Pelodiscus sinensis: one gene and its partners. The protein of the gene in region 4 interacts with the protein of the main gene of each other region in a pairwise test. Links are inferred from orthologs where the notes say so. Each region holds a gene or a part of one and is shown on either strand. Other genes may lie near its edges. The genes, in order: PPP1R16B, BAG3, HNRNPUL1 and SF3B4.

Evidence for each region.
Region 1: the proteins of SF3B4 (region 4) and PPP1R16B interact in binary tests that used the Homo sapiens proteins (3 or more experiments, as listed by UniProt). The two-hybrid records come from large-scale screens. The link is inferred for Pelodiscus sinensis from reciprocal best matches to the Homo sapiens genes SF3B4 and PPP1R16B.
Region 2: the proteins of SF3B4 (region 4) and BAG3 interact in binary tests that used the Homo sapiens proteins (3 or more experiments, as listed by UniProt). The two-hybrid records come from large-scale screens. The link is inferred for Pelodiscus sinensis from reciprocal best matches to the Homo sapiens genes SF3B4 and BAG3.
Region 3: the proteins of SF3B4 (region 4) and HNRNPUL1 interact in binary tests that used the Homo sapiens proteins (3 or more experiments, as listed by UniProt). The link is inferred for Pelodiscus sinensis from reciprocal best matches to the Homo sapiens genes SF3B4 and HNRNPUL1.

What each region holds. Positions count from the first base shown.
Region 1 is NC_134728.1:27,112,316-27,119,617, forward strand, and holds the start of PPP1R16B (protein phosphatase 1 regulatory inhibitor subunit 16B), read right to left. Parts: upstream 3,237-7,302; 5' UTR 2,308-3,236; intron 1-2,307. UniProt on the Homo sapiens protein: Regulator of protein phosphatase 1 (PP1) that acts as a positive regulator of pulmonary endothelial cell (EC) barrier function. Involved in the regulation of the PI3K/AKT signaling pathway, angiogenesis and endothelial cell proliferation.
Region 2 is NC_134718.1:58,606,558-58,613,839, forward strand, and holds the start of BAG3 (BAG family molecular chaperone regulator 3), read right to left. Parts: upstream 3,075-7,282; 5' UTR 2,740-3,074; coding exon 2,563-2,739; intron 867-2,562; exon of another isoform or gene 568-866; intron 1-567. UniProt on the Homo sapiens protein: Co-chaperone and adapter protein that connects different classes of molecular chaperones including heat shock proteins 70 (HSP70s), e.g. HSPA1A/HSP70 or HSPA8/HSC70, and small heat shock proteins (sHSPs), e.g. HSPB8.
Region 3 is NW_027465992.1:17,478-25,374, reverse strand, and holds the start of HNRNPUL1 (heterogeneous nuclear ribonucleoprotein U-like protein 1), read right to left. Parts: upstream 3,180-7,897; 5' UTR 3,107-3,179; coding exon 2,947-3,106; intron 1-2,946. Other genes in the region: olfactomedin-like, read right to left, coding at 5,045-5,838, 6,292-6,439.
Region 4 is NC_134734.1:20,278,551-20,286,647, reverse strand, and holds the start of SF3B4 (splicing factor 3B subunit 4), read left to right. Parts: upstream 1-4,723; 5' UTR 4,724-4,849; coding exon 4,850-4,883; intron 4,884-6,172; coding exon 6,173-6,301; intron 6,302-7,954; coding exon 7,955-8,097. UniProt on the Homo sapiens protein: Component of the 17S U2 SnRNP complex of the spliceosome, a large ribonucleoprotein complex that removes introns from transcribed pre-mRNAs.

The DNA of each region.
Region 1 (7,302 bases), on a different chromosome or scaffold from region 4:
GCAGCCGCACTGTCCTGGAACCTTGCCTGCCAGCAACAGCAGAACCTCAGCTAATGGGCTCTGTAATCTTAAGATTAATTCTTTTTTCTTTACTAATGCTTGAAATGTCCCTGTTGCAGCATCTGTCATGCTGCTGCAAAACAGACATCATTGCCTTGAACAGAATGCATGTGTGGTAGACACTGTTTAAAGTCCTGCCTACACATATTCCTTACAGAGTAGAAAAGAAATTCAACACCTGGCTGATGCATTATTTATTTATATCTATTGTTTAGTTTTGGGCTCAAAGACCATTGTGTGGCACTTAATCTGCGTACTTTCTTCCTCTAATCTGAACTAATGCATTTTACCTACCTCCCAGGCAGATAATGACAGAGATAGATTCAAGATGTAAAGTTTGTCTCTGGGATGAGATTTCAGAAACCAGAGTTTGGGGTGACTATAGTTTAGCCTAGTAGCATGTTGTTTGTGAGGTGCTGTGAAGCAACAATGCATTCTTATAAAAGCCATGTGTATATTATGATTTTATATATGAGAGCCAGAATATGGAAGACAAAGGGTATCAGCTTAGTTTTTCTGCAAAGTGTGTAGGAAGTTGAACACATTAGACTCTCCTAATTATAGCATCTCTTGTAAAACGATAGGAGCCCAGTTCTACGCCACAGATATGCCATGAAGCATTCTGGGTCAGACCAATGGTCTACCTTGCCCAGCATCCTGTCTTCCAACAGTGGCTAAGGCCAGGTGTGTCAGAGGGAATGAATAGACCAGGTGATCAGTCCCCTGTTATCCACTCTCAGCTTCTCCCTCGTAGTTACACACAGATAAAGGAGTTTTCATTTCTGAACATCATGGTTAATAGCCTTTGATGGCTCATTCCCTGGCAACTTCTCTAATTCTTTTTCAAACCCTATTATACTTTTGGTCTTCACAAGATACCCTGGCAACAAGTTCCACAGGTTGACTGAGCATTATATAAAGAGGTTTTCCATTCATTTAACTGTGCTGCCTATTAATTTCATAGAGTGTCACCTGCTTCTTGTGTTACGTGACTATAAATAAATTCAGCTTTATTCGCTTTCTCCACACCAGTCATGATTTTATTAACCTCTATCATATCCCCCTGCCCCTTAATCATCTCTTTTCCAAGCTGAAAAGTCCCAGTTGTATTAATCTCCCTTCATGTGAATGCTCTTCTATACCTTAACCATTTTTATTGCCCTTCTCTGAATCTTTCCCAATTCTAATTATTTTTTTAAGTTGGGGTGACCAGAACTGCATGCTTACCATGCCCTGATGTTACTTCAGCCAAGTTTACTTGCATTGCTTTGACTGAAATAAGTGATCATCAGCCACAGATGGAATACTTTATACTTCCATTATGTCTCTCCCACAGGGCCACAGAAGCAGAACCATGCATTTTACTTCTCAGATAGGCAGGAGACTGGGTAAAACTAGAACTTAAGGATCTGTGAAAAGAATCCAAAGACATGAGGAAGCATAAACAGTTCCCCAAAAGTCTGAGAGGAGATGATGTGTCCTGTGATGAATACAATGAAGTAACTGAAAGAGACTTTGTCTTTAGAAGCAAATAGCACTTAGGCTATGGGGGGGGGGGGGGAAGAATAACGTGCTGTTGGCAGATAAGGTCAGAGCACAGTGGTAGAACAGGAAATAACATGACAGGTGTAACCCCCTTTTCCCTCCCCGGGTTACTCGGGAGCAGGTCACACTCTCCTGTGTGCCTGGGCACCTGATGGTTTTAACATAAAAGGAGATCCTGAGCACCCCAGTGGTGATGTTGTTTAGTTGGGGAAAACCCTATCCACCCCTTTTCTGCAGTCCCTTGCTCATAAAGAACATACAAGGGTGGTGCCTCCAGCTGGCTGGCCTTGTACACACTTACTGGTGTGCCTTGAGAGCATCCAGGAATAAACTCATTCCAGCAATAATCTGGATCTAATTCCAGAACAACTGCAAATCATATACATCTAAAAGATTACATTAAAATAAACACTCTTTACTTAACTTAAATAAACAGGGTTTAATAGATTAACAATGAATAGCATTAACAAAGGGCACCACAATAATTGGAACTTATATAGCTAGCATTTGCACTGCCAATATTGATCCCACCCCAGTGTGCGCACACTCCTGGACTCAGAGTCCCAGACTCTTGCTTGCATGAGCGCACTTGAAGAACTGCAGCTGTAATGGAGATTCTCTGCAGGCAGTATGTATGAGGGTCCAAGCTAGGCAGCAGCTCTGTCCCAGGCAGCACTTTTCAAAAAATGCCCAATTACTTACAGTCTCATGCTGTGCCTATCAGAAGCAGCCTGCTTGATCCCAGTTCCAAAGGCCAGTCCCAGTCTATAGCTGCACTCTAACAGCCCCTGGACTGGATGAAACTCCTCCACAGCAGCCTGGCTTCCCTTCTGTTCCAAAATCCAAGGGCAGAGTCCCAGACTGCTAAGCCTCCCTTCTCATGCACTGGAGAGACCCTGATCTCCCACACAAGAGTCACTTCCTTCCTGTTTTTCCCAAAGACTCATGGGAATTGTAGTCTGTGAGGCTGGATTGCAGCACTCAGGGTCTTCCCAGAAAATAAGCGGAGGCACCTTTAGTAAGGGGACTACACAGGTATCTGTAACTACAAGGTATTCATCTTACTGAAGACTGGTCTCCATTGCCTATAATACTTGTTTACTAGCAAATGGTTAAATAGCTCCTGTGCTTTTGAACTGAAATTTGTTAATGTCCCTGTAGTTAAATCAGCCAACTCCTTTCCACCTTTTCATTACTATGAAATTTATACCCTTTGCCTTTTTCAAAACATCAACTATGGCTTTTGCAGGAAGCTTGGAAGGCCACAAAATTCAGACTTGCAGAGTATGTTATAGGTTAATACTTTCTCTGTACTTGCTTTTTAGTGTTGGGCATGCTTTTTGTCCTGATTTCACTTCTGGAATGGGCAAGGCAGCTTTGAGGTCTTGGGCCTGCTGGAAACACATTTCAGGGTTGTTTCTGCCATTTCCAACTCAGAAGCAAATGTCTCACTGTAGATAGTGATCTGGAATGTGTGTCATTTCCCAAGATCAAAAGTTGCTTGTATAAATTCATAATAGTCTCCTTTGCTATTTTTGCCCCTTCGGGCTGTATCTCTACTAAACTGAAAGTCCCTTTAATGCAGTAACCAGTTGCATCAGCTATTTAGTTAACAAAATTATATTTTGGTTGACCATCCTGAAAAATAAAAAAAAATAATTTGGGGTCAGACAAATTTCTGGTTGTTTGACCAGAAATGTTTAGACTTTGTGCTTTTACTTTTGAAATGTTTCAGTTTAATTTTAAAACCAAAATAATTTTTAATCAAAAGGTCAAACATTTGGTATAAAAAATGTCAAACATTTCAGTTCTTTCACATTTTTTGACACACAATTCAATGACTTTAACATGAACTTGTGAAATGTTTTGGTCAGCCCCATTCTGCAATTTTTGCTGAAAAAAATTTTAGGACCGCTCTCCATTAAAGCTGGGCAGATACCTGTGCAGTGTGTAGAACACACACTGGTCAAATGTCCATGCTTTGTCTGCACCATTGCATTTGCTGCCATGGCTGCAGGAGTTGCTGTAACAATATACTAATTTTCTCATGGATTTGGTGTTGAACTGCCCACCCTGAGATTTAAGCTGCCTGTTCAGTATGCAAGCATAAAAGGAAAGAGCCAACCTAATGCCACACTTAGGCTACATCTAGACTGCAGGCTTCTTTTGGAAGAAGCTTTTCCAGAAGAGATCTTCTGAAAAATCTTTTGAAAGAGAGCGTCCACACTGATTGGACACTATCTCGCATATAAGGCCACCCGGAACCACTTCAAGCAGGGCTTTAGGTCACCAATTGCTTCGGAGTGCTGTTGCTGAATCCTTGCTGACACACACACTTAAAGGGACCCTCCTGGACATCCATTTCTCTGCTTCCGCTGCGTGCTTGGTACCTCTTCGAGGGACTGCAGTGCTCCTGCAGTGCCAGCTTTGGTTGGCCAGCTTTTTTGGATACCACAGCTTTTTCCTTTGTGCCATGGAGCCAGAGCTGCCCCTGGGCATGCGATGGCCCCACACGGCCATGCTGCAGTTTGCGCAGGCTGCCTTCCTGGCCCTGCGTGAGCTCCACTCCAAGCTCATACTGGAGACCCTCTCCCTGTATGCAGGAGCAAGACCTGTGCAACTGCACCCCACAGTGGAGAGGCATTTTTGGAGGCTGGACACCAGTTCTGATTTGTGGGACCAGCTGGACATGGAGCGGTGGGACGACCAGCAGTGGCTCCAAAACTTCCGCATGCAGAAGGCCACCTTTTTGAAGCTATGTGCCTGGCTCGTCCCTGCCCTCTGACAATGCAACACCCACCTGTAGCCCGCCATCCCCCTGAAGAAGCGGCTCACAATTGCCATCTGGAAGCTTGCCACCCCAGAGAGCTACTAGTTGGTGGGCAACCAGTTCGGCGTGGGGAAGTCCACCGTCGGAGCCCTCCTCATCAGGTAAGGCACTCCGGGGCTGCAGTCCCTGCATGGGGGGAGGAATCCTGGAAAAGGGGGATCCTCAGGAAACAGGAGGCTTGGGGGGCAGGGTGTAGGGCTGGGGGGGGGGGGAGAAGCCCCGTGCCTGGGGGATTGTGCCATCCCGCCCTCTCTCAGCCCTGCTGCTGAGGGGGGCTCCTGGGGTGTTTGGGGGGGCAGGCACCTCCCAAGTGCTCCGGCACTCCCTGTCATTCTCTGTTTTGTGTGTTGTCTCCTTCTGCAGGTGGTGAGGGCCATCAACTGCATCCTGCTGCACAGGGTCATCCTCCTGGAAGACCTGGACCCGATTGTGACTGGATTTGCTGCCCTGGGGTTCCTGAACTGTGGTGGAACCATAGATGGGACCCAAAACCCGGTCCACATTTCTGAACCATCGAGCGCCCCAGTATATCAACCCCAAGGGCTGTTTTTCAATGGTGCTGCAGGCCCTGGTCGACCACGGTGGACAGTTCACGGACACTTTTGTCGGGTAGTCAGGAAGGGCACACGATGCCTGCATCTTTCAAAACTCAAGCCTCTACAGCAAGCTGGAGGTGGGCACATTCTTCCCCTGCTGTGACTTTGTGGTTGGGAATGTGCAGATGCTACTGTGCATCGTGGAGAATGCAGCCTACCTCCTCATGTCATCATTAATGAAACCCTATACCGACCACCTGGACCCCAGCAGTGACCAGTTTAACTCCCACCTTAGCCCAGCAGGGATGCAGGTGGAGTGCACCTTTGGCCGCATCAAGGTGTGTTCAGTTACCTCCTGACCTGCCTCGATGTGGGGGAGCACAGCATCCCGGAGGTTGTCTCAACACGTCCTCAACAACATTGTGGAGAGGAAGGGGGAGGCCTTCCTACCTGGGTGGGGGGCAGAGGCCGGCCACGAGGGGAGACTCTTTGAGCAGCTGCGGACAGTTGCCATCCGCCAGGCCCATCAAGCCGGGCTGCACATCCAGGAGGCCCTGAGGGAGAGTTTCTCTCAAGGACCCCAGTAACTCTCCCCAGGACCTCCCCACTAGCGGCTTCTGGCTTGCTCTAATATCCCTTTCCCACCACAACCCCTCTCCGCCCTTTCACAGACCTCAGAATAAAGACACCTGTTGGGATTTTAACAGAATGAACTTAGTATTTATCCTTTACTAAAAAAAGTTGGGGGGGGGGCTCATAACCTGGAGGGGGCCTCAGAGCTGGGAGTGGCGTGGGGGACAGCTAGATGTCTGGGTGTGGAGACCTCATTGAACTTGGGTTTGCGTGGGTCCTTGGACCGGAGGGGGGTGGGCCTGAGCATGGTCAGGGATGGTAGGAGGAGGGTGCATGGGCATCGCTTGGAGAGGGCAGGAGGATGGCAGGCAGGAGCAGCAACAGCAGCCGGGTGTGCCAACATCTCTCTCTCAAGCTGATCTCACATGTGGGTCCGCCAGTCTGCACCCTCCTAGACCTTCTGCACCAAGGTCCGCTGCATATTGCACAGGACGTCCACATGCTTCCTCATGAGCTCCTCCTGGACCCTGGAGCGCTTTCGGTTCCCCCGGGGTCGGACGGCTGGCTCGGGTGGTGTGGCTCGTCCCTCGAGCCAGGCTGTGGAGACTACACAAGAGGGAGAGGCGGTCAGTCATCCCTGCAGACACTGTCCCTGAGGCCGTGCCCTTCTCTGTGAGCAGCGACCAACAGTCCTCGGGTCAGAGGAGGGGGATGTCCTGGGAGCAAGGCCATGTGTGGCTTGCACAGCAGGCCCTGCCTCTCACAAGCCCAAGGTGCTCAGAGAACCATGCTGGCCACTCCCCCTTCCACCGCATCATGGACAAGCAGGCCAGGGAAGTGTCTGGCCACAGGGAGATCCCATGGGCGGCAGAGGAGCCAGGAGCAGCCTGGTCCTCCCTGGAGCCTGCACACACACCTGCAGCTCACAGTGCTGCCCGCTGGAGCGGGTGGTGCCTCGCACGTGCAGGCATGCCTGTGTGCGGCACTCCTCGGTGTGTCGGGGGACATGCCTGCGCCCCTGTGGCTAGCCTGCTTCCAGAGGTGTCTGGTGGTGGGAGGGTATCCCCGCCCCCCGGGGCCAGATGTGTGTGTGGCCTCCCCTGAGCCTAGGAGCAGGAGCCTGGGTGGGCTCAGGGGCTGCCTGCTGAGTCCACATGGTGCACAATAATGCTGCACGTGGGCCCACATGCACGGACTGCAGCATGAGGTCCAGCCCCAGCAGGCCAAGTGACGCTCGCACCCCACCCCCTCGCACCCGCCTCCCCCACCCTGTGTGTGAGACAAAGTGAGAGCACTCACCTGATGATCCCTACCTGGCATCAGACAATGCTTGGGACACGTCCTGGCACATAGCAACTGCTCCAGGGACAGCGTCATTGTGGCCATGTCCTCCTCCGTGACCTCCGGCCAGGCGACGACGGGCATCTCGAGGTCGGAGTCCTTGACGACGGGTGGGAAAAGGGCTCCCCCCCGCCCAGGATCTGGTGGAGCTCGGTGAAGTAGGGGCAGGCATGGGGTCCTGCCCAGGAGCATAAGCTGTGCTCTCTGGCCCTCCCATATCCCTGGTGGAGGTCCTTCCCTTTAGTCCACACCTGTTCTAAGGGCCTCAGCTACTCAGCCTTAAATGTCCGCATTGTGACATTTGGAGCAGAGATCCCGTAAGGCAGTGTTTCTTAAACTGTGTTCGGAGGTGTGCCGCAGAGAACAACAGAATTCAAAATGGCCACTCTTTTTTTTTCCTGAATAACTTTCTCCTGA
Region 2 (7,282 bases), on a different chromosome or scaffold from region 4:
GCAAATTTATAAGAGAGATCATTCAAAAATGTGCACTCTTCAAAAAACTATTATAGTTGCATAGGACATCTCTTAATATATTTATTTGTTCACAGTAGAATCATTCCTGACTGGAACCCAATTACACTATCAGACAATCTGTCTAACATGAGCTTTTTTAGTCAATTTTAAACATATAATATATAACATATGTTTCTGAGATCATCACAATAGTACCAAAATTACATAATTTACTTTGTCATTACGTTAAACAGTGCCTATCAATACATTTAAGAATATTTACAAAAAAATAAGTGAATTGTTTTATAAAATCTGTATTAAATCAAGAAAATCTGTCACACTGGATCCATACCCAAGTAATTCCAATGACTTCTGTGGAGGTACTCCTGATTTGGGAGCAGGGGGAGGGGGGCAGAGGGAGGTGGAGAGAGAATCAGTCCCTTGGGCTTCCATTATACTGCACTGCTTGTGCTGAGTTGTGATTGAATTCATAAAATGAGTAATAAATGTAATTCAATTATCATTCTGAAACTGAGGTATTGTAAAGAGTATTCCTGTTACATTTAGTGTTTCAAGCATCAAGATTTACATGAATGAATAAAGTTACAAGTGTCAGAATTGCACAAAAATGGTTGTCATCAGTCAACAAAATTTATCTTCCATGGGCTAATTTACAAAAATACATTTCAGACCTCTAAAGAACTTCAACACAAGCAACAATACTTTCTACAAACCAACGCCTACGTCCTTTCAGAATGCTGATGAAATGGTGAAAATATAGTTCTCAGAGTTAATTAGAACTGAATGTTGTCATGATGATTTAACTGTTTTGGTGCTCTACAATAATTTCTTGTGTTTAAAGGCCTAAGACCACCAGCACTGCTCCATTTTTAAGGCAACAGCTCAAGTGTTTTCCAAATCCGTTGCACTGTGACCTCTTTCTGACAACAAAAATCACTACACAGCCCCAGAAGGGATGACAGAAGCCTGAGCTACACTGTCTCAGGTTGGGGGAAGGGCAAAACCCCAGCAACCCTAAGACAGCCCTGGGGACCCCATTAAAATAGAGTCTCAACCCACAGTTTGAGAATTGCAGGTTTTAGCTTGTTACTACATTGTCAGGAACCTTCTCTAGTAGCTGAAGTAATCCAGCATTCAGACTACCAGTCCAATACCCAGGAACTTAAGAGTCCACACAAATTTCTTTCAGCATTAGCCTGACCAGCACTGTTTATTTTTTATTAAACACACTCTTTCCTTTGATGTGCTGCAGAATTCTCTACAACCCTCTTCTAAATAAGCTTCATTCTGGAACGTAGTGTCTAAGGACAACAGAACTGAGCCCTGTGTTAGTCCTATGACAATAATGTTTTATGACCATCAATAATATTTCAAAAATAAAGGCACAAGGACAAAGCTTAGCCTCGTAGTGTATTAAAAAACTTAAAACAAAGTAAACAGACATCTGATGATAAACTCTTATTTTCCACCAAGCTTTTAAAACCTTCCTAGTTCTGCTAGGATTTTCTAGCACCTTTTTTCTCCTGGTTTTTGCCTAAGGCTAACAAAATCCGCTAATTCTGATTAATTGGAGGGCCATTTATAAATTGAGTATTTATTGAAACTAAGACAGGCTTACTTAAAAGCTCCATTTATGAGGGCAAGTAGAAATAACATGACTCCTCTCTATCTCTCAACTGCTTCTCTTTACATGGACATATTTGGAGTAAGAGATGGATTTCCCATAAGCATGCTTTAAAACAAAACAAAAACCAAAGAACAAAATTACCCAGACAGTTAACACAAAGAGAAAAAAAAAAACCTTGAAAGAAGGCGGGTTTTTACTGATGTCCATAGTTTAAATTATACACATCTGAAAAATAAATCTGTGTGTGTCTTTCCAGGCAGGCTGGGTGGACTTAACCAACTTTAAATAAACATTACAGGGCTAAGGTATCAAATGATTTAATGCACAAAAAAAGGACTGCAGTGCGTCAGAGACAAAAGGCAGCTCCTGGCCTCACTGCATTGCCATGTACTGAGGAGAGGGGGCAGATGGCCCTGCCATTGCCCCTCACCCTCCACTGCACGGTACTGAGAGGGCAGGCAGTTCTGCCATTGCTCTAGCACCCCTACCCCCCCCCCCTTTCCATGTACTAGAGTAGGGGCGGCTTTGGCATTTGGCGTGTACTGAATAGAGCTTGTTGCCCCACTACAACACCACGTACCGAGGGGAGACCCGGCTGCCCCCTCCCCATGTGCTCCATGGGAAAGCTACTATCCCCCTGGTATTTCCCATATATCTAGGAGAGGGGAATCTGCCCCCCCCCAATTTGCCGTGTACCAAGGCCCGCCCTGCGCATTTGCCATGTATCAAGGGGAGAGGAGGCTGCTCCCCTCAGTATTCGCCATGTACCGAGGGCAGGCCCGGCAGCCCGTCCCTTTGTCCCCCTTCTCCCCACGCAGCCCTGCTCTGCCCCCCGCCGTGCCAGGCGCTGCGCACGGAGCAAGCTCCCGACCCTTTCCTCCAAAGTCCCCGGCGCGGAGCCCCCCCGCGGGCACCTTGTGCGGCTCCGCCAGCAGCCGCGGGTCGCTCCAGGTGGTGGTGCGGCTGTTGTGATCCACGAAGAAGGGCCAGCCCGTCTGCGGGTCGATCTTCACCTCCCAGCCCGGCGGCAGGGGCTCTCGCTCGGCGCTGCCCTCCATCTGCCCCAGGGGCGAGTGCGTGGCTGCGCTCATGCTCGGGCAGGACGCGCACCCAGCCAGCCCATGCGCTGGAGACTCAGGCGGGGACGCCGGCCAGGCCGGCACCTTTATCAATCAATGGGCGGAGGGAGGGGGCAGCGAAGGGGGTGGAAGTGTCTGGAAAGAGCCGCGCAGGGGCCAGGCGGAGGAGGAGGAGGAGAAGGGGGAGGAGAAGGAGGTGGAGAGACAGAGCAACTGGCCGGCGCGGCTGGAAACTTCTGGTGGTGTCGAGCAGAACTTGGTTGCGGCGGGGCGGGGAAAGCCTGCTTGAGTCACCCTCCGGCTCCTCCGCCTGTGGGGTTAGCCCAGCCCAACTCTCCGTGCTGCCGCGGCGTGTCCTCGCTTCTCGGGGGCGCTGGGACGGAGGCGGGGAAAGTTCACCCCCCCTTTTCTCTGGGGAATGGCCGAACAAGGAGCTCAAGTTACAGAGGGGGAGGTCTCCGCTGGATATTAGGAAAAACTATTCCCCTAGGAGGGTGGTGAAGCCCTGGGATGGGTTCTCGAGGGAGGTTTTGGACTCTGTATCCTGAGAGGTTTTTAAGTCTGGGTTTGACAAAGGCCTGGCTGGGGTGATTTAGTTGGGATCAGCCCTGCTTTGGAATCGATAACCTCCTGAGGTCTCTTCCAGCCCCCTGAGTCTATGAATGGGATTGCAGTGCCTGATCAGGGTCTTTGGCAGAAGTGTTGCTAGCCCCTTGGGGACAGTAAAAGCAAGAGTATTTTTGCCTCCCCCCACACCGCTGTGTGTGGCTGAAATCATACAGGTCATATAAAAATACCACAGAATCCATGATCTCTGTGACCGCTCAGTGCCTTAATAATAATAAAAAGTGAGTAGCCCTCCCCCCTTCTCCCATTTGAGCTGTTAGGGACCCTGCAAGTGCTTAGTCTCCTTATGCCTAGGGCCAGCACTGGTTTTTGGGCATTGGCAGAATGTAAAGGATTAGTGGCCTGGGTGCCTTTGCCTATAGCAGTCGATCAGTAATTTCTGATAGATAAAAATCTCACATATCTACAACACCTAAACAGCACCTCTGAATCACACCTGTGCAACCCCACTGGGCCAGATGCATCCTAGGAGTAACTTCATTGTGGCCAGTGCACAAGGGATAAAGGTGCTTGGACTGACTCTTCTCTTGTTTACAAGGTGTAACATTGATTTCAGAGAACTAGTCAGGCCCTGATCCTGGAAATGTGTAAGTGTATACGTAAGTTCAGTCTCTGAGATGCTTTTGCTCACCCACGTTCCACTATAGGTAGATGTGTAACACCAACTGGCAGAACTGAACCTGGGACCTCCAGAGCTAATCTCTAAGGCTGTAGAGTAGTGTTTCTCTACAGAAACAAACTTTTTAAGACTGAGAAACACCAAACAATTTTTTTTACGAGGGACACCAAGGATTTTTTTGTTGAACAACAACAACAACAAAAAAACAGCCATTTTGAACTCTGTTGTTCTCCACGGCACACCTCCGACTGCGTCGTGGCACACCGGTGCTCCCCAGGACACAGTTTAAGAAACACTGCTGTAGAGCAAACTCTTTTGCTCTCTCTGGTCTAAGTGCCACTATATAGGACAGTGAGCCACATCCAGCAAGTGTGTGGGTTACATTTACACCTCAAGCATGGGCAGGGAGTTCTATGGGCTCGGGGTGCCCAGGCAGCACCAAGAATATTCCTGGCCCAGGCCTGGCTCTACCAAAGTTCAAGACTGAGTCTCTCTCCCACCCGCCACCCTGCGCTCCCCAGCCCAGCAAGACCCCCAGCCCACCTGCTATTCCTGGGTCATCTAAAATGGCCCAGGAAACATCACCAACAGCACTCCTCACCACTTGCTCTGTGCAACTGCTGCTATGTGTCCCTGTGACCCCCTTGGGAGAAGGTTGTCTCTGCGCATTGCCCTTGCCCCAAGTGCCCCTCTAGCCCAATAGGAAGCTCCAGGGTGGTGCCTGCAGAGAGCAGTGCACAGAGATCTCTGCTCCTTATGCTTAGGGGCTGCTGTCAAAGAGGAGCGCCCTACGTAAGTGCTGCAACCTCCATCCCCTCTCCTAATATCAACTCCTGCTCCCCACTCATTCCCAGAGCCTGCAACCCCCCCTCTCCATCTCTTTCCCACACCTACACCTTGCACTCCCTCTGGCTGCCCAGAGGGTAGATGGTATAGGCCTCCATCTTTCTCATCTCAATATTGTGACAAAGCCTTGGGCAACAGCAGGTGATCCAGGATTCTAATCACTGCAGCATCAGTTAGTTGCCCAATGCACACCACTATATGAGTTCTGTGCCAAATTGATAGATTGAAGATCAATTGGAGAGAGTGAAAAGTTAATTACTTCATTAACTCAGAGGCTACAAAGTACAGAAAAAGAGCACAGAAGGAAAGAGAGAAAGTGGAACAGCTATAGGCTGAGTTCAGGAACTGTAAGATATGACTGCCTGTATTCTGCTCTTGTGAGGGACTAAGCCTTGGTCTATGATGGTCACACTTCTGTTCCAAAGGGACAATGATCTGCTTTAGGCCTTTCTTCCCATTCCTTTAGTCCACAGCATTTTTAGGAAGATTTGCTAAGACAAAGCTAAGGTGGTAATGATAGCTCCAGCCTGGGCACTAGTTCTAGAACTCCTGCATGAGGCATCTTTTTATCAGTCCACCTGTTCCTCTTTATATAAATCTACTGGAAATAATTTCCCAGAATCAAGGCCTGGTGCTTCATCTGAACCCAGAATCTCTATACTTAATAGCATGTGATCTGGCTGAATTCTGTGGACGGATCCTGCTCAGCAGCTAAACAAGACATTTTGATTCAAAGCAGAAAGCCTCTATTAGAAAGATTTATTAATTTAGGTAAAAACATTTCTCTTCATGGTCTGTTGAGAGTCATGTTTTAGCCTTCTTGGATTCTTCTATATCAGTCAACTTGGTCTAGTTATTGTCTTCAGACTTTCAGTGGGGTCCAGTTGGCTGCTATTCCAGCATATCGTCCACTTGCAGATAGTCACTCAATTTTTTCTGCAATATATAGATTTATAAAAAGATCTGACTCACACGTTCCCACCAATTAAGAAACCATTACCCTGTTGGGGCTTGAATGTGGAACTCACATCTTTGATGGATCCCTCATTTGAGACAATGGCAACATGTTTTTTTTATTTTATCCTTCTATTAAGACAGTTTTTCTAGTTGCTATTGGCCCACAAGATGCGAAAAATTCAAGCATTAATTGCACAACCACCATATACAGGTTGAACCTCTCTAGTCCAGCCCTTTCTGGTCTGGCAATATCCATGGTCCAGCATGATTTTAGTTAGCTCAATGGCCACTTATCATGATGTGGCCACATTTTCAGCAGTCCCATAAAATTTATTTACTGCCCCAGTCCTGGCTCTCAGGGTTCTATGATGTTATTTAGCTCTAATTTACCCCCTAAATATCTTTTAAGAGTCCAGTAAGCAGTAGAAGTGCTGGTAATGCTGCTAGACAATATTGACCTCCCATAGTTTGGTAAATTCTTTGGTTTGGTACCAGTAAGGTCCCAAGGGTTTCAACCTGTATTGAGGTTCAACCTGTAGAGAGGTTCAACCTGTATTGTCTTTTATAAAGGCAGAATTACATTCAAACCACAACTAGTATTTTTCTGGCAAACAATAGTTTTGGACTTTTATATAAACTAATCAATACACTTATCAGTGATTTCCCTTAAACCTCATGATTTTCTGGGAAGATTAAACTCCACAGGCCAGATGTATGCGGAGCTATGTCCTTTCTCAGATGAAGTCTTTTTGTAAATCACCTAGACGCTTTGTGACTCTTACTAATAAGTCTAAAGGATTTTTTGCTAGTGTAACTGAAAGTAGAATCTAGCCCCAGGTTTGGGTTTGGCAATATTACCACAGGAAAATGAGTTAGAAAGGAGTCAAGTCAATAGGCTTTTGGGTGGCTCATTGTAGGCAGTTCAAATCACATGGTCCTCCTTTCCTTCTGGTTCTACAGGCATTACAGTAATCTCTGTTGATTTCAGCAGCTGGAAATGAGAAGGAGAACCAGCTATTGGAAATCCTAGGGGTTGCTGCTATATAAGAGAAGGAGAAGAAGAAAAGTCCTATCCAGGGACAGATCCTTGGTTGGTATGTGAACTGTCAGCCACCATCAGGAGCTGCAAGTGGGAGAGAAATATTCAGGGAAGAAAGGAACTGGGCAACATGTGCAAGGGAGGAGAGGACCAGATCAAAGGGAAGCAAATCAAAGGAGAGCAGAAGAAAATATAGGCTATGTCTATACTGTAGGGTATTTTTGGGAAAAGGTACGCAAACTGTGAACTGCAATTTGCGTACCTTTTTCCGATTCTTTTTTCGCAAGAGGCTTTTCCAATATTTGGTCAAATACACTGGGCCAAATGTGGGGAAAACCTCATCTTTCAGAAGAGCTCTTATTCCTCATAAAAAGGCAGGGCTTCCAGAAGAGCGTGCCCACTTTTTTTGGAAACTGATCCAAAAAAGCGGACGCGTTTCCTGGACGCGGCAGAGTTTTTCCGGGGTA
Region 3 (7,897 bases), on a different chromosome or scaffold from region 4:
GATACACAGAGGAAACCGGTGAATGTTAGCATTTTATCACCAGGGAATCGGCGCCTGCAACTTTTGGGATCTACACACAGAGAACTCACAGGTCTGTCAAGGCGCACTCTCAAAAAGCTATCGCGAAATCAAAGAGCCAACCATCTGCTCGCTGCAAAACAAGCATGTGTTTCAGTGGCAAAACTCTTCTAGTGCAAACTACCCCTTTTGAACTAAAGGCAACGAAATCCCAGTGTCAGGCAAATCTAACCCACGCTCCAGCAAACAATGACAGACAACACTCCCTACGCCTGCAGGACTGAACTGTGACCCTCACGTCTAGCAAAGGAAGTTTACTCACTTGCATGTAGGACTGAACTTGTAGTTTACTTTCCAAGAACTACAAAAAGCAAAAGTGAAAGTGGCTACATCACCTTCCAGGGGAAAGACAAATCAGTAAGTTTTGGTCCTCAGAGGTTGTCCAATTCACACAAATGGTACAATAAGAGCATCTTAGCACAGAACCAAAGCAAATCAGCATTCTCTAGCGCATGGGTTCCCAAACTGGGGGGCATGAAGACATTTCAGGGGGGACATGAGGCGACACAGCCCCCCTGGTCCAACCCCCCCAACTTGCTGCTATTTTTGTTTTTCGGACCCGGTCAGTTCCCCCCCCACTTTTTTTAGCTTAACAAGTTTTGCTGCTATGGGGTGTGTGTGTGTGTGTGAGGGTTTCTCAAAAATCAAAAAGGGGGCGTGATGCCAAAAAGTTTGGTAACCACTGCTTTAGTGAAATATTGAAAGGTGGCTCATCCGCTATCACACCGCATGCCAGAAAAGCACAGAACCAGTCCCGGTACGAGATGCACCATTAGGAGGACAAAAGTATGCCTCCAATGGACAACAGCAAGCAAGCAAGCTTGCACATGCTTCCAAGCACCTGAGATTTAGGGAGCATTCCCACACGTGGTTTGACGTGTAATACAGCAAAGAGATAAGATGACTAGCAAGTCCAGACCCATACATACTCCCAGTGCTGAACCCCGGAGGGGCAGTTCAGTTTCTGTCTTTTAAGCTCAGTCTCTTGTATGAAGCAGAACTGATCAAATGTGTATCCAAGCTATTTATGCACGTGCACACACAGCTCCTCCAGCCATGCACGAACATCGCAGTGGACAGCAGACGAGATGTGGCTCTACGGTACTTGCCAACCAGTCTATGGGAAACAGACCCTAACCACCAGGGGAATTGGGGGAGGGGGGGGAACAGGACCTGACAAAAGCCTAGAGGATCTCTCAATGAATAGGCTGACAGGATCCCTACCTGCCAAAATCCATCAACAAGGAAACAAGTGAGGAACAGCCAAGAACTGACCCCTCTCCAGATAGAAATAAAACCAGCCATGGGATGCATAAAATAAGCACCTACTGCTGACAGAAAGCTACCTCCTTTCCTCATGGGAGAGGGGAAGGCAGAAGTCTCTTGGGTACATCTACACACACCAACTCCCCCGCGTCATTACAAGCCGGGTGGGAGCAGTGAGCTGGGACTAGAGCCCAGGCTACCGGCGCCCTCAGCGCTGGGATCACATGACCCAGAGCCAGCTTGGCACATCGTATCTGCCCACCCTGATGCCCCTTCCCAACCAGAGGCTACGGGTGTCCCCAACAGCTGTGAGCCTAAATGCCCCAGTGAAAACCCCAATTACACCAGCGAGCCAGGCCAGGCTGTTATGCAGACATGACCCTCCCCCCGGGGAGAACAGGGCCTAGGGGCTTTAGACACCTACCCAGACCAGAGGCTTTAGAAACCCACCGCCCAAGGGAGGGCAGGGCCTAGGGGCTTTAGAAACCCGTCGTCCCAGAGAGAACAGGGCCTATGGGCTTTAGAAACCTACCTAGCCCAGATGCTTTAGAAACCCAGTGCTCCGGGGAGAGCAAGGCCTAGGGGCATTAGACACCTACCTAGCCCAGATGCTTTAGAAACCCAGTGCTCCGGGGAGAGCAAGGCCTAGGGGCTTTAGAAACCCATCGTCCCCAGGGAGAGCAGGGCCTAGGGGCTTTAGAAACCCACGTCCCCAGGGAGAACAGGGCCTAGGGGCTTTAGGCACCTAGCTAGCCCAGAGGCTTTAGAAACCCACCTCCCCGGGAAGAGCAGGGCCCAGGGGCTTTAGAAACCTACCTAGCCCAGATGCTTTAGAAACCCAGTGCTCCGGGGAGAGCAAGGCCTAGGGGCTTTAGAAACCCATCGTCCCCAGGGAGAGCAGGGCCTAGGGGCTTTAGAAACCTACCTAGCTCAGATGCTTTAGAAACCCAGTGTTCCGGGGAGAGCAGGGCCTAGGGGCTTTAGAAACCCACGTCCCCAGGGAGAACAGGGCCTAGGGGCTTTAGGCACCTAGCTAGCCCAGAGGCTTTAGATACCCACCGCCCCAGGGAAAGCCAAGCCTAGGGGCTTTAGAAACCCACCTCCCCGGGAAGAGCAAGGCCTAGGGGCTTTAGAAACCCATCGTCCCCAGGGAGAGCAGGGCCTAGGGGCTTTAGAAACCCACGTCCCCAGGGAGAGCAGGGCCTAGGGGCTTTAGAAACCCACGTCCCCAGGGAGAGCAGGGCCTAGGGGCTTTAGAAACCCACGTCCCCAGGGAGAGCAGGGCCTAGGGGCTTTAGAAATCCACGTCCCCAGGGAGAGCAGGGCCTAGGGGCTTTAGGCACCTACCTAGCCCAGGGGCTTTAGATACCCACCGCCCCAGGGAGAGCAGGGCCTAGGGGCTTTAGAAACCCGCAGGGCCCAGGGGCTTCGGGACCCCGCCGGGCTGCCCGACAACCCTGGGCGGGGGGAGGCTCTTCACCGCCCCCCTCGAGGAGCGAGGCCCCGCCCCCGCCCGGCTGGCCCCGCCCCCGCGAGGCGCGAGGCGCGGGTGAGGGGCTGCCGCCGCCGGGCCCCGTTCCCCGCCCGCGGGGCCCCCCTCACAGTGTCCGTCGGGCGCCGGGCCGCCCGCCCGCCGCGCCTCCTCGGCCTCCAGCGCCGCCTGCAGCCGCTCGGCCAGCTCCGCCTTGAGGCCGCGCGTGTCCAGCCCGCGCCGGCCCAGCTCCTCGCGCAGCTCGGTCACCCGCAGGCGCCGCACGTCCATGGCGCCGGCCGCGCTCCGAGCCCCGCGCTGGGCCCCGGCTGCCCGGCTGCGGGCCCGGCTCAAAATGGCCGCCATCGCCGCCTCCCCGCCCGCGGCCGCGCCGCCTCGCAACGGGGCCGCCCATTGGCCGGGCGCCCCGCGCCGCCCTGCAAGGCCGCCTGCGATTGGGCCGCGCCGGGCGCCTCGCGCCTCCCCTCGCCGCCCGTCTCCCGCTCGCGCGTCGTGTGTCAGCGGGGCGGCCATTGGCCGGAGCCGGGAGGCGGCGTTGGAACGGGCCTTGTCATTGGCCGCGGGCCGCGGGGCCGCGAGCGTCCCTCAAACGGCGCCTGGAGGGCGGGAAGGATGGCCTTGATTGGCAGCTAAACGGGCGGGCGTCAGACCTCGCTTAGACCAATCACGGCGCCCCCCGCGACTTCACGGGGAGTTCCTCATTGGCTGGACTCTGGGTTTGTTTGTTTTCTGCGCATGTCCCATTGGCTGCGCTCCCGACTGAGCGGCTGTGAGCTTGTCTGCTATTGGCTTAGCCCAGAGAGCGTTTGTTTGGTTGTGGAAGGGATTTTTATCTTATTGCCTTTCCCATTGGCTGAGGGGAGGGATGTTATTGCAGTTCCCATTGGCTGAGGGGAGGGATGTTATTGCAGTTCCCATTGGCTGAGGGGAGGGATGTTATTGCAGTTCCCATTGGCTGAGGGGAGGGATGTTATTGCCTTTCCCATTGGCTGAGGGGAGGGATGTTATTGCAATTCCCATTGGCTGAGGGGAGGGATGTTATTGCAGTTCCCATTGGCAGATAGGAGGGATGTTATTGCAATTCCCATTGGCTGATGGGAGGGATGTTATTGCAGTTCCCATTGGCTGATAGGAGGGATGTTATTGCAATTCCCATTGGCTGATAGGAGGGGTGTTATTGCAATTCCCATTGGCTGATGGGAGGGATGTTATTGCATTTTTCATTGGCTGAGGCCTGGTGGTATGGGGGGGGGGGGTTGATGGTGGTGCATTTCCCATTGGCTAAAGGGGGGGGGGGGAGAGATTTGTTAGAGCAGTTCCCGTTGGCTGAGGCCTAGGTCTGTTTGTGGGGGAAGGTGCATTTCCCATTGGCTGAGCCCTGGGGGATTTATTGTTAGACCCGTTCCTATTGGCTGATCGGGGTAGGTCTGGTTTTCTCAGGCAATGGGGCGCTGCATGAAGCAAGGCGCCAGCGGCTTTCATGGAAACAGCAGCAGTCCCGGCTGTGGGCAAGACGCCAGCCCCACCCTGGCTGCCAGCTCCCTGGCGCTCGGGTGCTGGTCCCTGGGACGCGTTAGACCCCCAAATGCAGTGACGCGCACGGGGCTGCGGTTGGAAGGTCACGTTTATTGGCTACCAAGACAAAACAAGGCTCCGTTTGGGCCTCAGAAGCCCCCAATTCCGAGAGCCAAATTCGCCCCAGGTGTGGCCCTGCGGAGGCAGTGGGGTGAATGGAAACTCACGAGAACAACCAATGGGCCGATTGTCTGTCCTGGCCCCAGCCGCCCACTCCAGCTGTGGCGTGCAGGGGAATTGCAGCCGAGACTACAGGTTTCGTGGGGTGGCAGAAACCCCAGTACGGTAGCAAAGGGGGTGGAGTGGCAGAGCCTGGGAGCTGGGAGGGGAAATTGAGGCAGAGCCCGGGAGCTGGGAGGGGAAATTGAGGCAGAGCCTGGGAGCTGGGCCGTTGAGCAGCCTTAGTTCTAGCAAAGTGGTGAGAGAGAAACAAGCATGGTGGGAGAGAGAGCAGGACTGAGGGCAGTGACCTGGGACGAAGAGTAAAAGCATCAGGGGAACAGGAAAGGGGGAACGAGGAGGGGGAGGAAGACTGGAGTTTGGGGGGAAGGAACAGGGTGGGCCGGAGAAGGCAGGGGGAGACCCACCCGCCCTGGGCGCTGCCGGTCCCCTGCCTCCAGGCCAGGCGGGACGCTAGGGCCGGAAGATGACGTCGTAGGTGAGCAGGTAGCCGTCGCTGTACATGTACAGCTTGTGGTCGGCGGGGTTGTAGCTCAGGGACTGCACGACGTCGGTCACCTTCTCCAGCGGCAGGCTGAGGCGGCTCCCCTGGCCCGTGCGGGTGTCGTAGGCGTAGAAGATCTCCTCGCGGCGGGTGCTGAGCGGGCGGGTGGCGTACATCACCCCACACACCAGGAAGGCGTTGGTGGCCGCCGGCTTGTACTGTGAGGTGAGCCAGGTCTTCTCCACGGCCAGCGAGCCGGGCCCCAGGCGGCCGATGACGATGGTGCCCTCGCCGCGCTCGGTGGCGTAGAGCACCCACAGCCCGGTCTCGTCCGCGGCCAGGTCGAGGCCCTGCCAGCTGGTGCCAGCGTAGGAGAAGCGGTTGTTGAAGGCGGCGTTGGGCACGGCCTTGCGGTCCACGGCCCCGCTCTCCAGGCTCAGGCGGCACACCTCCCGCGCGTTGTAGCAGTTGTAGTAGAGGGAGCCGTTGTACAGCGCCGGCCCGGCCCCCTGCCCGGAGCCCGAGATCAGCTGGTCCGTGGGGTTCCTGGCGAGCAGCAGGTCCTGGTAGGAGCCGTAGAGACGCACCGCGTCCAGCCGCCGGCCGTCCGTGTTCAGCGGCGCCACCCAGTAGCGTTCCTTCCGCCCCGCGCCCAGGAACGACTCCTTGCCCCAGGCCCCGGCCTTGTAGCTTGGGCCCTTCCAGTTGAGCTGCACCACCGAGGGCTTGCCGATGCGCCAGATCCCCCGGTGGCTGCACGTGCCTGCGGGGAGAGGGGGTCGGGGCGTCACGAGGGTTAGATCGGCCCAGTGACGGCACAGCTCAGAGCCAGGGCAATGGGGTTCCAGCCCAGCTCTGGGAGGGGAGTGCGGGCTAGTGGTTAGAGCAGGGAGCTGGGAGCCAGGACTCCTGGGTTCAAGATCAGCTCTGGGAAGGGAGTGAAGTCTAGTGATTAGAGTGGCGGGGGGGCAGAGGCGATCAATGGGAGCTGAGAGCCAGAACTCCTGGGCTCTCTCCCAGCTCAGGGATTATGGCTGCACAGGCTTTGGGCTGCTCATAACCTTTCTCCCGTCACCCCATGGCTAGCCCCACTTCACAGGTGGGAAACTGAGGCACACAGGGAGACTTGGCAGTCCCGGGGGGGTGGCTGGGGCAGTGCTGGGACCTGAGCGAAGTCTCCTCAGTCCAGCTGAGACCCGTCCCCGGGGGTACTCACCGACCAGCGGCTGGCCTCCCAGCAGTGGCCTGTCCTTCTGACAGTCCTCCAGGCGCTGTCTGAGCGTGGCCAGCTCCCGCCTCATGGCCACCACGTGGCTCTGGTCATAGGATTCCAGGGCGCTCACGGTGACAGAAATGTTCTGGAGCTGCGGGGGCAGAGCAAGCGTCAGTCATTCCAGGGGGGCGGGGCGCCCCGTTCTGGCTGAGGCAGGACCCCAGGCACCCCGTGCACGGATCCCCCCGGTGCTCCCACAAGTAGCAGGCCTTCGGTCTGTGGGACGCCTCCGCCCGAGGGCCACGTCCGCCAACGGCTGCTGAGTTCCAGGCAGGTTTCCACACAGCTGGCTGCAAAGGTTGCTCACCCAGCGCCCGTTACGTTGAGCGCCAGCAATTGGCCAGCAGTGGCCGGTCACCCCCCGGTATCTGCTCCCAGGCGTTTGTCCCACCACGCCCTCCTCCGCTGGAAGCGGGAGAGAGACCCGAACTGGAGAATCGGCAGCATTCGTGGGCCAAGAGCCCTCGCTCGCGGGCCAGGCCCCCACTGATGTAAATCTCTTCCCGACATCCAAACCTCACTAGAGCGGGGTGGAAAATTCCATCCGAGGGCTACGTCTAGACTGGCATGATTTTCCGGAAATGCTTTTAACGGAAAAGTTTTCCGTTAAAAGCATTTTTGGAAAAGCGCGTCTAGATGGGCAGGACGCTTTTCCGCAATCTAGACGCGCTTTTCCGCAAAAAAGCCCCGATTGCCATTTTCACGATTGGGGCTTTTTTGCGGAAAACAAATCTCTGCTGTCTACACTGGCCCTTTTGCACAAAAGTTTTTCGGAAAAAGACTTTTGCCCGAACGGGAGCAGCACAGTATCTCCGCAAGAACACTGACAATCTTACATCAGTGCTTTTGCGGAAATTCAAGCGGCCAGTGTAGACAGCTGGCAAGTTTTTCCAGAAAAGCGGCTGCTTTTCCGGAAAAAGTGGCCAGTTTAGACACAGCCAAAGTGTTTTATCTAAGGGGGAAAAACCCGCAGCTTTGGCCACAGCAAAACCTTCTGTGACCTTGCGTCAGCTTGGTTGGAAAAAGCCGGACGCCATCGAAAGGCAAACAGGGTAGGATGGGGGGTGTCAAACGACTCTTGGTTTAGAAACGGCCTTCGAGCTGGCGGAGCGAACGCCCAGTGGCAAAGGGTTCAAGAGGCTCCGAATCAAAAGGAAGGCTTTTCCAACAAAACGTCTTGTTCAGCACCCCCCTCCCACCTTTGTAAGGCACCGAACCGTTCCAAACCTTGCCTTTGGTTTGCCTCTTCAGCAAACCCAAATATCCATGGTTTGTGCAGCTCGCTCCCGGGCTGGGTTTGCCCGCGTCCGTCCCAGGAAGCGCTCCCTGCCATTGACGGGCTCTGGATTTTCCCAGGGGAGGCTAGTTTCTCGGACCCAGCCTGGCTGGGATTTCAGGAGCGTGTTGGTGTCGCTGCTGCGGCACTGGGAATATTTCCTGCCCGAGCCTCGGAACGGAACGGAACGCATCGAGTGAGCCATGGAGGGAGTCAGTAAACCCAGTTTTATTGCGGGTGGTGTTTACGCAGCGAATACAGGGGTGCTGCCGG
Region 4 (8,097 bases):
GAGAACGAGAGCGGGGGGGATCTGGAGCCAGGCCCCTCTCCACCAGTCCTCCAGGCAGCGGGGAAGTTGCGGGTGCACGGGCCGGCGGGCGGTAGTTGCACTTCGCTTGTGAACAAGCATTTCCCAAGTGTGGTCCCAGGAGCTTCTGTCCTGCCCCGAGCGAAGGCAAATTTCCTCTCGGCCCTTTGGGCCAAACCACTCCGCGTCTCCCAGTTTGACACAAGCTGAGGGAGTGATGGGTGGAGGGGAGGGAACCTTTAATAGCTGCCATCCTGGCAGACCGAGGTATGGTTGTCCCCCTAAATTGTTACCACCCACTGGCTGCAACTGACCCATCCTTCCCTCAGAGACAAACGCCCGTTACATGAGCATCCGGCTGCCCCAGCTACCATCACCTTTCCTGCTTCGTGGCTCCCCTCTTGGTTGGTGCAGTGAAGGATGAACAGGTCTGGGAGACTGAATTTCATTTCCACCTTTCCCCGTGCTCCTTCTAGCCCAGGGCTGAGACGCTGTGGATGTTTTGGGGGTGTGGAGCAGCTTGCTTGGGTTGCACCCATCTTGGAGACCTTCAGTGTCCATAGCTATCCCGCTAGCATCTCTCTTGAGCTTGGTGGGGAGCGAAAGCTAAAGGCCGGCCGGCCCCGTCCCAGGCTGCTGCTGGCCTTAAACTGGGGCTGCCGTTCCCTTTGTACGTTAAATCTGCATCGCAACTTTAATGCTGCGCCTTTCAGGGACCCGCGCTTGCAAGCGGAACTCCAGGCCTGAATCACAGCTCTGTCATCCGCTACGCCTTCCATATACTGCAGCCTTCTTGAGGGGAGGAGGGGGAAAGCAGGATTCAGAACCCAATCGTCTCCCTCCCCAGGCTGCAGAAGTCGTATCCAATTAGTCAATTTCACCAGCTGGGCACAAGTATTAGCATCAATCGGAGACTTTTCCCCTGGCTCCAGCAGGCATTGCATTCAGGCCCATGCCAAGGGTAGTGAAGGAAACCCTTTGATGGGAGACTTTAATCATCGTTAAGGAACCTACAGATGCCCGACGGCAGTAGCCCGATGGCCTCATGCCGCTTATTAGCGGCGTATCTGGAGATGGGTGGTGTTTACACAGTTCTTGTATGCTACTTCTTTTCTGCCCCGAGAGCCAAGTGCCTGCTTTGTATATCTGTCCAATGTGGCATAACAGATTATTTTTATTGGCGTTTATTATATACTCTCTTGGGGCAATATTGGACTTATGGGTACATATGTATGGTTTTGTTTAAAATTTTTATATATTTTTTTAAAAGCCCTGGCTATCAAATTAGGAACCCACAGGAAATGGGTTTAGTGTCTAAGCTCAAGTGTTTTATGACAAAACCGGCTGATACATCTATGTGGGAGCCTGTGTGTGTTTCTCTCTCACACCCACACCCAGAGGGACTGGAAGCCGCCAAGTTCCTGAGTGGATTAGAACAGGCGTAGGGCTGCGCTGTTATCCAAGATAGCATGGGGAGATGTGCTGGCATGGCTAAAAGTAGCAGTGGACAGGCACACTGGCTTCAGAGCAAGCTGCACAAGATCTGGGTAAGTACTTGCATTGCTAGCTCATGCCACCACATGACCTTGGAAATATTTAGCCATGCAAGTGCAGGTATGTCTAACCCATGGGCTGTGTCTAGACTGCATCCCTTTTCCGGAAAAGGGATGCAAATTAGACACATCGCAATTGCAAATGAAGCAGGGATTTAAATCCCCCCCACTTCATTTGCATAAACATGGCTGCTGCTTTTTTCCAGCTCGGAGCTTTGCTGGAAAAAAGCGCCAGTCTAGACGGGGATCTTTTGGAAAATAAAGCCTTTTCCAAAAGATCCCTTATCCCTCTTAAAATAAGGGATCTTTTGGAAAAGGCTTTATTTTCCGAAAGATCCCCGTCTAGACTGGCGCTTTTTTCCCCGCAAAGCTCCGAGCCAGAAAAAAGCGGCAGCCCTGTTTATGCAAATGAAGTGGGGGGGATTTAAATCCCCGCTTCATTTGCAATTGCGATGTGTCTAATTTTCATCCCCTTTATGGAAAAGGGATGCAGTCTAGACAGAGCCATGCAGTAATCACGCCTAGAATTGCAGTATAGACATCACCCATGCATGCAGAGAGTCCAGTCCAGCTGTGGTAAAGGAAATTGGTACAGTTGTCTGCAAAGTTTGGAATTGTTGGCATGAGAATCCTAGAACTTCAGACCTTTCAAGTGCCTGGGAAAGAACTGTCACCCCTATCTGAGGAGCATAAAGAGAGCACTTCCTTCAGAGCAGGCTCATTTCTTTTTACGCGCAAGATTTCAAGATGATGAGATTTCCTTTGCACACTCCTGTGTGGCTCCTTTTCCTGCTGGTTATTCCTTTCTAAGAATTTGGGGGTTTTGCTCATTTTTTATATGTATATCTTAGCACTAACAGCACATATACATAGTACTATTTTCAGAAGAAAATTAGGATAACTCAGCAGATCACACATTCCCTGTGACATGAGGCATGAGTTAAGTGGAAATCCAAATAAGGGCATTTTTTTTTCTATTTTGTATATTTTTGTAGTGATGTTTCTATTTAAGGATTCATTAAAGTTCAGTATTTTTTAAATGCAGAGTGGCGGTCTGTGCATTGAATTGTATGCTCTAATTAAACTCAGATACCAGAATCATGGGGTGACATTCTCTTCTCTGTCTTCTGAAGGAGGCCAGATTAGATTAAGCTAATGGCCTTTTGTGCTTTTAAAATCTATTAACCTAAGAGTTCAGATCATCTACTGCAAATTAATCAGCCCTTATAAGGTGCTTTGTAGCAGTAGATTGCCAAGCATTTCACAAAGGAGGTGACGATGATCCCTATTTTACAGATGGGGAAACTGAGGTACTATTGAGGCAGGGACTTGCCTACGGTCACCCTGCAAGCCGATTGTTGAGCCAGGAATAGAATCTAATTTTCTCCAATCATTGTTCGAGACTCTCTCACTTTACCCAAAGCAGGGTAGTCCAGCTGGGCTGAGGCAGGAGGGGGGAGGGGGCTATTTGCACCTCTACCAATCACATTGCTGTGTGCCTCGGTTTCCCCATATGCACAATGGGAATAATGATAGTGACCTTCTTAGGTAAAACAGGGGAAGCCATTACATCCCCAAAAGCAGTCAGATCCTTCCTCTAAAAGGCCAGACACCCCACAGGTGTAAGGAATTATGCCATCAAGGTGCAGGAAGTACATAACCGGCTGTGTTGGGCTCTGCAGGACAATAAAGCATCATGGCGTAGCTGACTCCAGCCCACACTCAAAGGCTATGTCTACACTGGTGCGATCTTGCACCAGAGAAATGCAAATGAGGCTAAGCGTAGAATATCACCGAGCTTCATTTGCCTATCTAATGAGCTGCCATTTTGCGGAAGAGGCTCTTGCGCCAGAAGGAGCTGTCTACACTGCCCCTTCTTGCGCAAGAAAAACCCTCTTGCTCAGTGCTTTTTTGCGCAAGAAGGGGCAGTGTAGACAGCTCTTTCTGGCACAAGAGCCTCTTCTGCAAAAATGGCAGCTCATTAGATAGGCAAATGAGGCTCGGCGATAGTCCATGCTTAGCCTCATTTGCATAGCTCTGGCGTAAGATCGTGCCAGTGTAGACATAGCCAAGGAGGCTGGGTCTGTGCGTCTCTCTCCCAGAGCCTGGGCCGAGGGGCCAGAGCCGGACTAAGGGGTGGGCGAGCCGGGCAGCTGCTCGGGCGCCAACTGATGGAGGGCGCTTGACGGCAGTTGTACAGGGCGTGTAGCGTCCCTTATAGCTGCCATCAGGCACCGTGCACCCAGCTCCCCCCCACATCCCAGTGGCGCTGGCCAGCAGCGCCCTTCCCCCCACAGCCACGGGGCCCTGCACGGCCAGGCAGCGCATGCGCCGTGGGCCCCAGGCTGCGCGCCAGTGGCCATGGCCGGACAGCGCATGCACCGTGCGCACTGGGGCGGGCCCACACAGGCGCCATGCGCTCTGGGGCGGTGCCACGCACCCGGGCCTGGGGTGCCGAAATGGCTCGGGCCGGCCCTGCGAGGGGCACAGATCTTCTACCGCTGGGTGTTTAGTTTTTCTCTCATGCGTCTCCAGCTGGGACTAGAGGCCTTGGGAAGTCCAGACAACTGCCCCAGTGCCCACAGGCCCCCAGCGTTGCCAGGTTTTTGCCTGGACTGTCTGCTATTCGGGCCCCCTGTTCAGTAAAAGCAGCAGACAGCACCGGACATGAGAAATGTCTGGTGCTTCCTTTGGATGGACGTGGGGTGGGGGTGGGGGTGGGGGCGGGGGTGGGGGTGCAGTGTGGGGCCATTTAAAGGCGCAGTACCCCCTTTTTTTCTCAACTTTGGTCAAGAGATTTTTTTCCTGGTGTTTTTTTTGGGGGGGGGGGGGGGGTATTTGTTAATTCATCTGGCACCCCTAGGCCCCGCCCCCTGTGCCTGCATTGGGAATAGGGGGCGGGGTCAAGCAGCAGGCGCCCCCCCCCAGCAAGGGGGGGTGCTCTGCGGGGAGGGGGCATCCCCTACAACGGGTGCAGAGGGCCGTGGAGCGGCTAGTGGCACTTTACGTCATGACACGTCACCACAAGGGTCCTAGCCCTGGGGGACCAGGGTGGGGATGAAGAAGAAGGGACCCAGCGAGCCACTTCCGCCCAAAGGGAACATGGCCCCCTAGGGGCCTGCCCGGCCGACTTCCGCCCTTAGCCGTCATGGCTCCCCGGCCACTTCCGGCCTCGTCCAAGATGGCCGCCACGTTCACTGCCCCGTTTCAGCCGCGGTGGCCGGAAGTGGGAGGGTGAAAGGGCGGAAGTCGGCGGGGGAGGCGGGAGCGCGTTCGAGATGGCGGCGGGGCCCATCTCCGAGAGGAACCAGGGTAAATGGCGGCGGCCTCCGACCCCCTCGCCCCCCCCCCCCCGCCACGAGGGGCTGGGCCCGATCCTGCCCCCACAGCCAGAAGGGGGGGGCTGGGTTCCAGCCGGGGGGGCGGGTCCTGCTCCCACAGCCCGGGGGGGGGGCTGATCCTCAGCCTGGGGGGGCCTGATCCTGCCCCTGGTGCTGGCTGGGTTCCAGTGGGGGGGGCCAATCTTCCCCTCCCAGCTGGAGGGGGGGCTGGGACCTCCCCCCAAAAGCGGGGGGAGGGGGCTGGGTCTGAGCCTGCAGGGGAGCCCGATCCGCCCCTCCCCCCCCACCAGAAAAGCTGGGCGGGGTGGGGCTGAGTCCCAGCTCGGGGGGGGGGGGGGTCTCGATCCTCTCCTCAAAAATGAGCGGGGATGGGGCTGTGCCCCAGCTGGGGGGAGGCGACCTCCCCCCCCAAAAGCCAGAGGGAATGGGGCGTGTCCTAGCTTGGGGGGGCCACGCATCCCACTAAAAGTGAGAGGGGTGGGGGCGCTAGATTCGGTTCCTCTGCTTTGCATGTGATTTCTGTCAGTTCGTTTTTTGTGGGGGGTGGCGGGAGCTGTGGGTTCTCACTCTGCAACCCTGGGCAGATCTTCCCTCCTCTCTCTGCCTCAGTTTCCTCCATAAAATAAATACCTTGGGGTGGGGGTGAGATTTTAGTTTGATCTGAAGTATCGACTTTGTGTTGCCTTGGCAATGGGAGGGGATCATGGTCAGCAGCGTCATTAGGTATGGTTTGAGGGTGTTACTGTACAAACGTGATTTAAGGGGAGTTGCTTCCTTGCACGCAACAAGGGGAGGCAGTGTAGCCTACCTGCTAGAGCACTGGCCTGGCCCTTGAGACACCTGAGTTCTATTCTTGGCTCTGTTGGGTGATCTTGAGCTGCTTCTTCTCACTGCCTCAGTCTCCCCATCTGTATTATGGGGCTGATGATGCTGACCTCCTTTGCAAAGTGCTGTGAGAGCTACTGAAGGACTAGCTAAAAGTTAGGGATTAGCACCTCTTTGGTGCATGTCTGCACTTCAAGCACGGGTTTTAATCCTCTGGCTTATTGGGTGTATAATACTCCAGAGGAGTGTGTTTCATTAGGGGTCAAATCTTGTGCTGTTGAAGTGGAGGCAAGTTTTGCTTTTGACTTAGTGGGCTCAAGCTTGATACAGAGCTCCTCTCTTCTGAGGGGGGAGTTCCTAACTCCTCTGAAATAGCAACGAGATTCCTCTTCAGAGCCATGTAACCCAGAACCGTCTCCTCTTCCCCCTCTCAAGATGCTACCGTGTACGTTGGTGGCCTGGACGAGAAGGTCAGCGAGCCGCTGCTATGGGAACTCTTCCTGCAGGCGGGACCAGTGGTCAATACTCACATGCCCAAAGATCGAGTCACAGGTCAACATCAAGGTAAGGCGCTGTCGGGGCCTTTCAAAGATGTGTGTCTGCAAAATAACGCATAGATCCGAATCCTCGTGGTGCCTGGTGCTGTACAAACACTGACCAGCCCGTCCCCAGGCCTGAGCTTATAATTTAAATCATTCTTCTGGGTTTCAGTTTACTCCATGCGTATGTTGCCACTGGTTCTAGGACACAGCACGGACCACATCTCATTTTCATATTGTCTCACTCCAGTTAAAAACATATGAACGGCCATACTGGGTCAGACCCCAAAGGTCCATCTAGCCCAGTGTCCTGTCTGCTGACAGTGGCCACTACCAGATGCCTCAGAGGAAGGGATTACAACAGGTAATCCTCATGTGATACCTCCCCTGTCACCCACCTCCAGAGAAACAGAGGGTAGGGATACCATTTCTACCCTTCCTGGCTAATAGCCATTGATGAACCTAACCTCCATGAATCCATCTAGCTCTTTTTTGAGCCCTGTTAAAGTCCTAGCTTTCACCACATCCTCTGGCAAGGAGTTCCACAGGTTAACTGTGTGCCGAGTGAAGAAAAACTTCCTTTTGTTTGTTTTAAACCTGCTGCCTATTCATTTCATTTGGTGATCCCTAGTTCTTATATTGTGGGAATAAGTAAATAACTTTTCCTTATTCACTTTTTCCATGGCCAGTCATAATTTTATAGAACTCTCTCATATCCCCCCTTAGTCTCCTCTCTTCTAAGATGAAAAGTCCAAGTCTTTTTAATCTCTCTTCATATCGGACCCTTTCCAAATCCCTACTCACATTCTTGTTGCCCTCCTAATCGGTTGCGTTACTTTGAAGAGTAGACGCGTGTTCTGGGCTCCGTTACTTTTTAACCCAGTTTCAGTGGAGACTTGAGGCTTGTCTACAATTGAAAGAGGCTGGAGCAGCTTTGCTGGCAAACTCTCCCAGTGGGAGAGACTGCATATAACAGAATTTTGTAGTTCCCTACATAGAATAAGTTATAGCAACTAAAGGACTTGCTGGTATCATATGTACATGTAGATCTTTGCTGACCCAGCTTTGCCATGTCGGCATGTGATTATTTCACACTCCCAGGCAACATAGCAATGCTAGAAAAACTTCCGAAGTGTAGGCCAGCCAGTAGTGAAACTGGTACAGATCCCTCTTTGGAGACTCAGAGCCGTTTAAATCTTTAGCTTGCAGCTGTGAGCTATGGGTGTTAAACCCGGTTCATCAATTGAACTTGATGAGTGTTCACGCGTGCAGCTGCACTAGTTTAAATAAATCAGTTGCAAAATGGCACCTTTAGATCGGTGCTACTTCATGGCTAGATCAGGCTTCAGAGGCCAAGGGCACGAGAAATCAATAGATGCAGGTGAGGGAGAAAGATGATCTGAATTGCAACGGAGTGGAGACGTAGACCGAGGTGGTTCCGGACACTAGATGACGCAGTGAGAGTTCTGTCTGCAGGGGGACAGTTGGCCTCCTCCGTCATTCCAGCCAGTTGTAGATGATTGAGGAGAGAGATTATTTCAGGGAGAGCTGTAGAGGAGAAGACTCTTGCGTCCACAGTGAAGAAACAAAGGAGGCCTGAGATCAAGCAAGGGGATGGAGTGGGAGGCTGGAGTGTGCCTGGCAGTAAAGGGCTCTGTTGTGGGGGGGTGTGTTTCAGGCTATGGGTTCGTGGAATTCCTCAGCGAGGAAGATGCCGATTACGCCATTAAAATCATGAACATGATCAAGCTGTATGGGAAGCCAATCCGCGTGAACAAAGCCTCCGCCCACAACAAGAACCTGGACGTGGGGGCCAACATC